Linked DNA regions of Caenorhabditis elegans. The protein of the gene in region 1 purifies or fractionates together with the protein of each later gene. This does not show direct contact. Each region holds a gene or a part of one and is shown on either strand. Other genes may lie near its edges.

Evidence for each region.
Region 2: the proteins of nhr-177 (region 1) and ttll-4 fractionate together in Caenorhabditis elegans (co-fractionation; one large-scale study listed by BioGRID). This does not show direct contact.

Annotation. Positions count from the first base shown.
Region 1 is NC_003283.11:1,608,539-1,613,539, reverse strand, and holds nhr-177 (NR LBD domain-containing protein), read right to left. Parts: upstream 3,278-5,001; 5' UTR 3,181-3,277; coding exon 3,005-3,180; intron 2,953-3,004; coding exon 2,816-2,952; intron 2,767-2,815; coding exon 2,702-2,766; intron 2,016-2,701; coding exon 1,590-2,015; intron 1,534-1,589; coding exon 1,439-1,533; intron 1,397-1,438; coding exon 1,281-1,396; intron 1,115-1,280; coding exon 864-1,114; 3' UTR 782-863; downstream 1-781. Other genes in the region: srbc-41 (Serpentine Receptor, class BC (Class B-like)), read left to right, coding at 105-410, 468-737.
Region 2 is NC_003281.10:10,122,438-10,127,257, reverse strand, and holds the start of ttll-4 (Tubulin polyglutamylase ttll-4), read right to left. Parts: upstream 3,076-4,820; coding exon 2,973-3,075; intron 1-2,972. Other genes in the region: ham-3 (SWI/SNF chromatin-remodeling accessory subunit 1), read right to left, coding at 4,537-4,606. UniProt on the Caenorhabditis elegans protein: Monoglutamylase which modifies tubulin, adding a single glutamate on the gamma-carboxyl group of specific glutamate residues of target proteins. Involved in the side-chain initiation step of the polyglutamylation reaction but not in the elongation step.

The DNA.
Region 1 (5,001 bases):
AAATTTTTTGTGAAGTCTCATTATGAAATTCGTTGTTTTTGGACCAGTTTTAGTCTATTTAAGCAAAATACCCACCAACTCTACTCCCCCTTTAACCATTACAGGCAACTTACCTACCTATTAAATATCACGTGGCTCGACCTCGAATTTCAAACCTACTATTCTACATTCCTCCATTTATATTTCTCATTGTCGAGGACTTTGTTATTTTCATAATTTGTGGAAAAAATTTAAAACATATCCCAGACAGTTGTACAACGTTCCCATGCACCTTGAATACTTGTGCATATAATTGGTGGACCACTTATAAGTCTGTTATATTTCCTGTGATCATATTCTTCACAATAATTCTTTGCATTAAGCTAATGCTTTTTTCAAAAACTCTGCAAAACTCTGGAGTTACGAAAAGAGTAAGGTCTTAGAATTAAAATAATGATATCAATTCAACAAGTTTGGAAACATTTCAGGCCAATCGACTAGCTCTTCTCGACGCTTTTTTGATTTTCTTCTTCGACTTTGTTCCATCGTTTGTGGCTCACGAGTTTCCCAATTCTCCGTTGATAGCCTACACGACTACAGGACCAGTTACTGCAATGCTGAAGCAAGTCGGAAGAGCAATTGAATCAATTATTGTCATTGAAATTTTAGTTAGAAGACAATCAAAAATTGAGGATAGTCGACGATCTAAAAGATCTACTCAGCCTATACCTCATATTGCCACTATTTCGAAACCTTGAAATTTAACATAAGTCTGAAAGTAAATCTACTATGATGTAGGTTCAAAACATATTTGACTGATGTTTTCCTTGTATAAAAAATGTTGCACACAATAATAGTACTACAACTTCACATCGAAAATACAGTTAAGATAACACCTCAAAAAACTCCGGGTTTGAAATTCGTGGGTTGAATGAGTTGAAAAATCCGCCAATTTCATATTTATCCATTCGAGCACTTCTCAGCTTCAGAAAATTCTCTTTGATTCTCATTAACTGTTTTAGCCTCCGAAGGTACATGGAGTTTTTGTTTTTCAGGTAATACTCGTGAAGGTCGTTTGATAAAACGTCTTGTAAGTGGTCCATCTTTTCTTGGATTTCGCCACCGAATCGTTTGCCTGAAAATAAAAAAAATTTCAACAGTCATTCGTCATTTCGTTTGGGCTTTTAAAAGCCACAAGTTACAACATAATTTCTGTTAAGAAATGATATCCAAACACCGGAAAATGAATTTGCTACGCGCTTAACTTTAAACTAATTTTTTTGAACTTTTAAAAAATTCACCAGTCAAGTGAAAGCAAATACTGCAAATGATAAATGTCGTCTCCACGTCATTTGGCTTCACTTCCATCATTTCCAATACGGCATCTTCGTAGAACAGCTCTCTAGGAACATAGAAACTAAAAATTTAAATGATATTCATATAAAAATATCCAACTTACTATTGCATTTCTTCAAACGGGAGAGTTGTCCAGCAGCTAGCATCAAAAGACATTTCATCCAAATTCAGTGCAAACATTGGGGAGAACACAAAATGCTAAAATAAAAACCTGGATACATATAAACAGAAAGCATTTAAAATTCAGTAACTACCTTTTCTTCGCATTTTTTCTCTAATCTCAATTTTGCCGTAGTGGCAATCCGTTCGAGACGTCCCCAAGTGTACCAGATTGCTTGCAGTATTCTAATTTTTAACGAGTCTTGATAGTTCCTGATTCGTTCGGAACACATCATCCATTTTGCAGCTCCAAACATGGATCTTTCCATATCTTGTGTGACATCACTCACAGATAGATGTACAACCTCTGCTAAATTGTCTTTTTGTGACCACTGAAGCTCGATGAGCCCATGAGTCAGTTGCTCCAAGTTGCTCATTTTTTTAGTTTTTTTGGTGAAAATTGGATTTAAAAGCATGCGAGTTGCCTTATTAACCAGTTGTGATAGATCCACATATGGAAGGACTTGAGAGGTTTTATTGATTAATATGAGTGAGGTGGCATCACGTTTTGGCTCGGTGATCTAGAAATTATTAGATTTTGGAAAAGAAAAATTACTTTGATACTGTGTTTAGTAACGGAAAAGACAAATTTTTTCATAAAAAATTTTGCTGGAAGTTCTAATTTTCTCAAACAAATTTTAGCGGGAAACTCCAGTTTTGTTCTTAAAAATTGTTGAAAAATCTGCTTGTCTCAGTCAAATTCTAGCGGGAAATTCAAATTTTATTAAAAAAAAATTATCCTGGAAATTCACAATTTTTCAAACAAATTTTAGCAGGAAACTCCAATTTTTTTTTCATTTTTCTAGTGAAAAACTCAAATTCCGTTTCTATTATTTATTGTTGGAAATTCAAATTCTAGCGGGAAACACAAATTTCATTTCCTGAAATTTGCTGGAAATTCAAAAGTTTTCAAAGAAAATTTAGCTGGAAACTCAAATTTTATTTTAAAAACACTTCCTGGATATTCAAGTTCTAGCAAGAAACTCAAATTTTGTTGCAAAAAAAATTTCAGGAAGTTCAACATTTTTCAAAAAAAATTAGCGGGAACTCAAATTTTTTTTTCAAAAACAGTTGCTGGAAATTCAAAATTTTTCAAGCAAATTCTAGCGGGAAACTCACACTTTGTCACTAAAAATTTCTGGAAATTCGAAATTTAGTACTAAAATTCAGTGGTTCGAACAGTTCAAGGTTTCAACCAAAAACTTACGTTTTCAGCACTGTCTTTTATTTTTTTCACCGATGATTTATAGGCGTCTCTGTCATATTGGATATCTGAAATATTTTTTTAGTATATTTTTTCCGGAAATTTCAGTCAGCCCACTTGAAGGAGTCATCCCCAATCGAAAGCACCTTTCCAATCGGCAAGTTTTACAAAACCATTTTCCATTTTTATTCGGTCCACATTTTCCTTTGGATAGCCGACATCTACGACGGTTTTCTTTTAGGAAGTGGCAACGTCTAAAATATAAATTTATTTTTTTAATATCAATATAGTATTTTAATTTCAAACCGGAAAAAAGCAGCACAAGCTCTGCAAGAGAACACTCCAAAATGGTAGCCGTGGCCTTTTTCAAAGCAAATTCGGCAGTCCTTCCTTGGAGGAGGCGGCTCTGATGATGACAAGGAAATATTTGAAAAATGATTTGATGTTGATGGACGCGGACATATATTAATCAAATTTTTCATGTTTTTGACAAGAAAAGGTAATGAAAAGAGAGAAAGAAGCCAATGATGACGAAAAATCAGATAAGAGGTAGTTACTGCCAGCGTCGTTGGAGTGAATACACAAAAAAGGAGAAATAGAGAGACATGCAGACAAATGCTGTGGCGGAATGACATACAATGTAAGGTTCGTATTAAATAGTTCAAGTGTACGTTTGCAATTGTCGCCCAAGATCAACAATATGAATTTTGAAAGTTTTCATTTTACCAAAATCTTGAAAAAGATTAAAGAAAGGTGCAGGGAAATTATCAAATAATCCATGTATGTATTTAAAAAAAATGCACGGAGGTGGCAAGTGACATTTTCCAGCAAATCGGCAAATTGCCGGAATTGAAACTTCCGGCAAATCGACAACTCGGTAAATTGCCGGAATATAAAATTTCGGCAAATCGGCAAATCGGAAAGTTGTCGGAATTACAATTTTGCGGCAAAACGATTTGCCTATATTGCCGGAAAACGGCAATTGCAGTGAATTTTCGGCAAATTGTGGTTTTGCACTTTTTTTTTTGAGAATTTGAAAATTTCAATTTTAATCGGCAAAATTGTATGCATCCTATGAATGTCATACATCTATTTTAAAAATAAGCAAATTCTGTAAAAATGTCTAGATAAAACTGGAAAAATTTCAAAAAAGCACAGTTTTAAGTGTTTCCGTCTTATAAAAATCCTTCTAAAAACTTCCAACAAATTGATGTTCGGCAAACCGGCAAATTGTCAAAATTGAAAATTCCGGCAAAAAAATTACCCGAACGGCAATTGCCTTCATATGCAATAAAAAAGGGTTAAAGTCAATAAATTAAAACATGAAACGAAACAGCATAAAGTTGCAAAACGAATCGAAAAAACAGAAAAAAATAAATTAAGTTAACTGAAAGAAAGTTTGAAAAATCGATGAAAATCGATTAAATTATCAGAAAGAAAGTTTGAAAAATCGAAAAATCAATTTATCTGACTATGAATCATATAAAACTACTTTCAAACTACTTTCATGTTACCCATTATTCATCTCCCTGACACCCGCACATTCATGTACCAACTAATCAACTATTCAGATGATAATTCATTTTCTGTATGTTTATTATTTTTCTGTATGTTTATTATCGTATGTTTATTATGTTTATTATCACGATTTCAATCGTAATAAATTCAATTCAATTCAATAATTAGATGTAATTAGCTGTTTCTTTTTAACTCCTGGATAATATTTTCTAGTTTAATGTATCATATTTGCTCAATCCATTTTCCCTCCTCCGTATGTAGAGCTGTACATAGCTTATTTTGAAATTAATCGGATATTAGAATGTCTGGATTAAATGAGTTTGAAAGATCAAAGAAACACTATTTTGCTCTTTCTCTCCATCCAGTTTGGCTTTTCCTAGTTTCAAAATTCTTTTTTTTTCTATAATTTTTTTTGATTTTTAGAACTTTTGAACAAACTCATTTGCCTTTTGGCCATAAAGAAGTGGCTTAATTTTTTGTAATATTGTGTCTGACTACGTTTTTCGAATTAATAATAACTCAATTTAAAATGATAACACGTTTGAGAAGCTGTATTTTTATTGGAAATTTTTATTAGAGTCATAGTTTGAAGAGATCAAATTGACAAGAATACTTTAACCTTCAAACTTGTCCAATACATAAAAGGGAAAGATTTTTGAATAAGGGTTCACAAGGTTCAAATATCTTGAATTGCAATCTTACTCTTCCCGTCATTGCAATGTTGAGGATTTTCAACAAGTTTCAAAAATCGGAAACCAATAAATATATGTACTCCGCAGTCTGCT
Region 2 (4,820 bases), on another chromosome or scaffold:
ATTTACCAGAAATTTTCAATTCCGGCAAGTTCACCAGTTTGCCGTTTTTCCGGCACATTGCCGGTTTGCCAATTTGTCGGAAATTTTCAGTTCCGGAAAATTGCCTATTTGCCGGAAATGTTCAATTCAGGCTATTTGGCGGTTTGCCGATTTGCCGGAAATATTCAATTCCGGTAACTTGCCGATTTGCCGGAAAAATCGTTTGCCGCCCACCCCTGATATAAAGTTTGAACAATTTTTTAATGTGGGGAAAAATTTCCTGCAAATTTGGCAAAATTATCAGAAAAAAAATTTCCAGTAAAAACGTTTTTTTAGAGAGAAAAGTACTAAAACTCCTTAAATTGTTGCCATAATCGTAAAACGTGATAAGCACATTTTTCTGATTCTCTTAAAAATAAATTCAGAATGGCTACATTTTCTGTAGGATTTTTCATTTAAAAAAAGCCAAAAAAAAAGTGAGCTCAACAACGTTTTTCTGTGAGTAAAAAAGCTGTCATTTTGCTTTTTCTTTCTCGTAAAGCAAGACAAAAAAAAATAAAACTAAAGATTAGTATCCGAGAGTTCTTTGTTTTGTTTTCTTGGTAGTTTTTTCCCTAGTTTTCTGCCATCACTCACTCATAGTTTAAAACGTATGTATCTCTAATCACTATATCATCTCCTATTTCTCACTAAGCCCCCCCCCAGCAGCAGTAATCTTCATGCTCTCTCCTCAAAGGGTGGTAGTGATGGTGGTGTCAACGGAGACAAAAAGAGATACATCACTACACAATTATTTTTTTGTTTATTTGAACGTTATAGGTGTAAAGCGACGACGAGCGAGAAGAAGAAGAAGAAGAACAGAGTGAGAAGTGAACGAAAAAGTGTCGTGATTGTTATGGTGGTAACGGCGGGGAAGTAAATGTGTTTTATGCGGTGTCTGGCAACGAAGTTAGGGCTCTCTTGAGCATCTTCTTTTTTTTGACTTTTGTTTTTTTGCTGGTTTTTTATTTGTCATTTCTACTATTTTTGCAACGCAACTGTAACAAAAATACCTTGAAAAAGTGATTTTTTTCGAATTTCCTCCAAAATAGGGCGCCAAATACGGCTTCTTTATGGTAACTTTAGGAGTCCGTCAAAAAAAAAATTGCACCTTTTGTATTAAAAGAATATATAATTTTTTCAATTTGAACATAGTTTCTACAATTTTTATATATTTTAAAAAAATATAATTTCTGCAATTCTGAAATTATTTCAGCAATTTTTATATTTACAAAAAAATAATTTCTACAGTTTTAAGAAAATTTATTATTTCTGCAACTTTTTTAAAAATAAAATTCCTGTCAGTAAATTTAATTTTTTATCAGTGGGGAAATGGTCAAATTTCATAGTGAAACTTTAAAAAAAATTGTTAACTGTTTTTATTTCAAAAAAAAAAGAAAGATATTTCTATGTTTTTAGCTTGAAATCTACCTATAATTATTCTACAAAAATGTTTTTTTTTCTCAAAAAGTACAAAAAATCCAGGAAAAATTTTTTTTGGTCATGTTTGTTTGGAATTTTTTTTCAAATTTTCTCAAGTAAATAATTTAAAAATTCTCCTTTTCTATAGAAATATAATTTCTATTTTTCAAACTGTAATCTGTTCTTTTTGGTATTTTTTGGCATTAAAACTAAAATTTTTATAAAAATTTCAAAGATTTTAGTAAATATAAATTCTCATTAACGCTAGAAGCTTTTTCACAGATTTTCTTTCGCTTCAACAAAATTCTTGAGCATCATAAAACAATGTCTACGACTTCATGCTTTTGAAGCTTTATCTTTTGAGATGAAGTACTACTTATGCTCTCTTCAACAGAAAAAATTTCAAAAAAAAAAGAGAAGCGCTTGTGGAAATAGTTGAATTTTTAGGTTAGAGGAAGATCGACAAGCGGATAAAACAAAAACTCAAGGGACTAGTTTTTCGTAGATTTCTCAACGGAAAACCTAAAGTTTATTATTTTTAAAAGAGATATTTAATTTAAGATTAGAGATTTTTTTGGGCGAAAAGGTTTGAGAAAATGAAAAACAACTTGTGATTTCTAATAAAATGACGGTGAGAAAAAGAAGATGTCGAATACAAAAATAAACAACCATCTATGATCATTTAGTAATCGGAACGTCGAATCAAAAACTAGAATTGTGACTTTTTTAAAAAGAAGTTTTTAAAAAATTCGATTTGAAAATGTTTTTTTCGTCGCATTTTTTCACTACCATTGAGCCCCGCAAAATTGCTCAAAAAGTGGATTTTTGCATATTTCCAATTACTTTTCAATCTTAAAAAAATTTTGTTTTAAAAATCTAAAAACTTTTCAGAAGAAACTTCCATAAAGATGCCAATTTTTTCGAAAAAAAAATATTGGATTTTCTTTTCAATCTGAAATTTGTTTTCACCCAACTTAAAAAATTCCCGATTTTTTCTCAAAAAAATAATAAAAATTTCATAAAAAGCTTCCTCGTGTCTCGTTTCGTGTCTGGATAATAATCCAGACACGAAATTTGGCGCCAAATATGGTAACCGGTCTCGACACGACAAATAGTTGTTAGTTGCAAAAAGGTGTGCGCCTTTAAAGAGTACTGTAATTTCCAATTCTATTTTAAAAATTTTTACTCACATTTTCTAAAACTTATATGTTTCAAAAGAAAAACTATGAAAAATTGATTAAAAACTCCGTAGCGCGGAAAGTTTGAAATTACAGTACTCTTTAAAGGCGCACACCTATTTACATTAACAAAAAATGTCGCTTCGAGACAAAATTTTGCATCTGGGTAAAATTTTAATGAAAAAAAAGCTCAGCAATTCAAAATTTAAAAAGTCTCGAGAGTACTGAAAAAATGCAATTTTTACAAATTTTCAGATCAATTTTTCTGTTTCTCGCCACGGAAAGTGAAGGATTTGCCATAAAGACAAAACAAAAAAAGCTAAAAAATTTTGTCAAAAAACTTCCGGTAATTACCTGTTGTCTCTTCAGCTCCATCATCATAGCTGTCGATTCGATTCAAATCTGTGTCACTTGATGTATGAGACACACTCGGTGCAGAGGAATACCCGCTACTCATCTGAAATATATTTCTTTTATTAAAAATTATGTGAGAAAATATATGTATAAATATTGGAAAAAGGAATAAGGATGTGTCTGTCTGTGTTGACCGAGATAAAGTATGTCTGTGTGTGTGTAATAAAGCAGGAGACTGAGATAGAGAAAACGGGAGAGCCGGAATTTTTTCCGAGTGCTCTTTTTCTAGTTGTTTTATTTTACATGTTACATATCTCAAATCTCGAATGGCTTCCGGCATTTTAAAAGTTTTTAAAAGTGACTTTTTTAAATGTTAAATGCAAGAAAAATAGCGAAAAAAATCAGGATTGTCCACGCAGAGTACACGAGCACGTAAATCTACAAATCGAGGCAAGTGCGCTCCACGGTCAAATTAACAGAGGCCCCACGAAAAGGGGAGCAGAACGAAAAGGGGATCTGCAAAAAGGGGATCTGCGAAAAGGGGAGATACGAAAAATGGAGATACGAAAAGGGGAGCAACGAAAAGGGGAGCTGGCACTGTGCCAAACGCACAAAACGCAATTTTTCTCACGCAACGCACGTTGATTTTTGAAATTTTCTTCTAGAGGATACGCTTAACAGCACGCGACGCGTAACATCGGAGCATCGTTGTATCGTTTTCTTCGAGAAAAATAGCGTTTGGCACAGTGCCAGATCCCCTTTTCGTTAGCTCCCCTTTTCGTATCTCCCCTTTTCGCAGATCCCCTTTTTGGAGATCCCCTTTTCGTTCTGCTCCCCTTTTCGTGGGGCCTCAATTAACACACTCCGCCTCCAAAAAGTTGGTTAGGTATATACAAGGTAAAAGTTTAAAATTTTTAAAAAATCAATTTCGGCTTAAAAATGATTTGAAAAAAACAACGGAATACATTGCAAAAAAGACGAAAAAAATAAAAGGCAGGTTTTTTTGTAATGTATTCCGTTGTTTTTTTCAAATCATTTTTAAGCCGAAATTGATTTTTTAAAAATTTTAAACATGATCTCGACGTAAAAATCATTGAAAATAACCGAAAACAGCAAAAAAAAAAAACAAAAAACCGGAAAATTAATTGAAAACGTTTGAATGTACGATTTTTTCACCAAAAACCTAACGAGACCTAACGTTTTGAGGCGGAGCCCGCGTGCCCATGGAGCGCACTTGTGCTTCGATTTCAAAAGGCGCGTTTTTTCCTATAATTTACATATTACACACATGTGGTAAAAAAGAAAATAATAAATAAATTGGATAAATAAACCACTGTTTAAATTTTCGAGCATAAGCTTAAAATGCATATAATTTATCAATTAAAATTTGGTTTGGAGTGGAGAGAAAAATAATTATATAATTAGTGAAGAATTGAGATAAAACGTAATTAGATTCGATAAAAAGAGAATTTTTGAAAATGTTGTTGAGATCCCAGTTTACAGGTCGGCAGAGGGAGAAGGAAGAGAGAAAAAATCGATATTATACGGAAAGAGATATAATTTATTAATTGTTGCGGATTCCGAGACTTTGCTCCAGCTCGGCTCGTTTTTGTTGGATTTTCTGATACATGTACCTGGAAAATACAGAATTTTGGATATAAAAATGATAAATTATTAGTCATTTGTGAATTTTTTTGATATTTTTTTCGCCAAAAATACGGAGAAATTTAGAAAAATTGTGCAGCCTTAAGGAGTACTGTAACTGCAATTCATCGTTTTGGAATTTTTCCTCGGTTCTTTAAAAAATTTTTTATTTATTTTAAAACTATAAACAAATGTTGACAAATC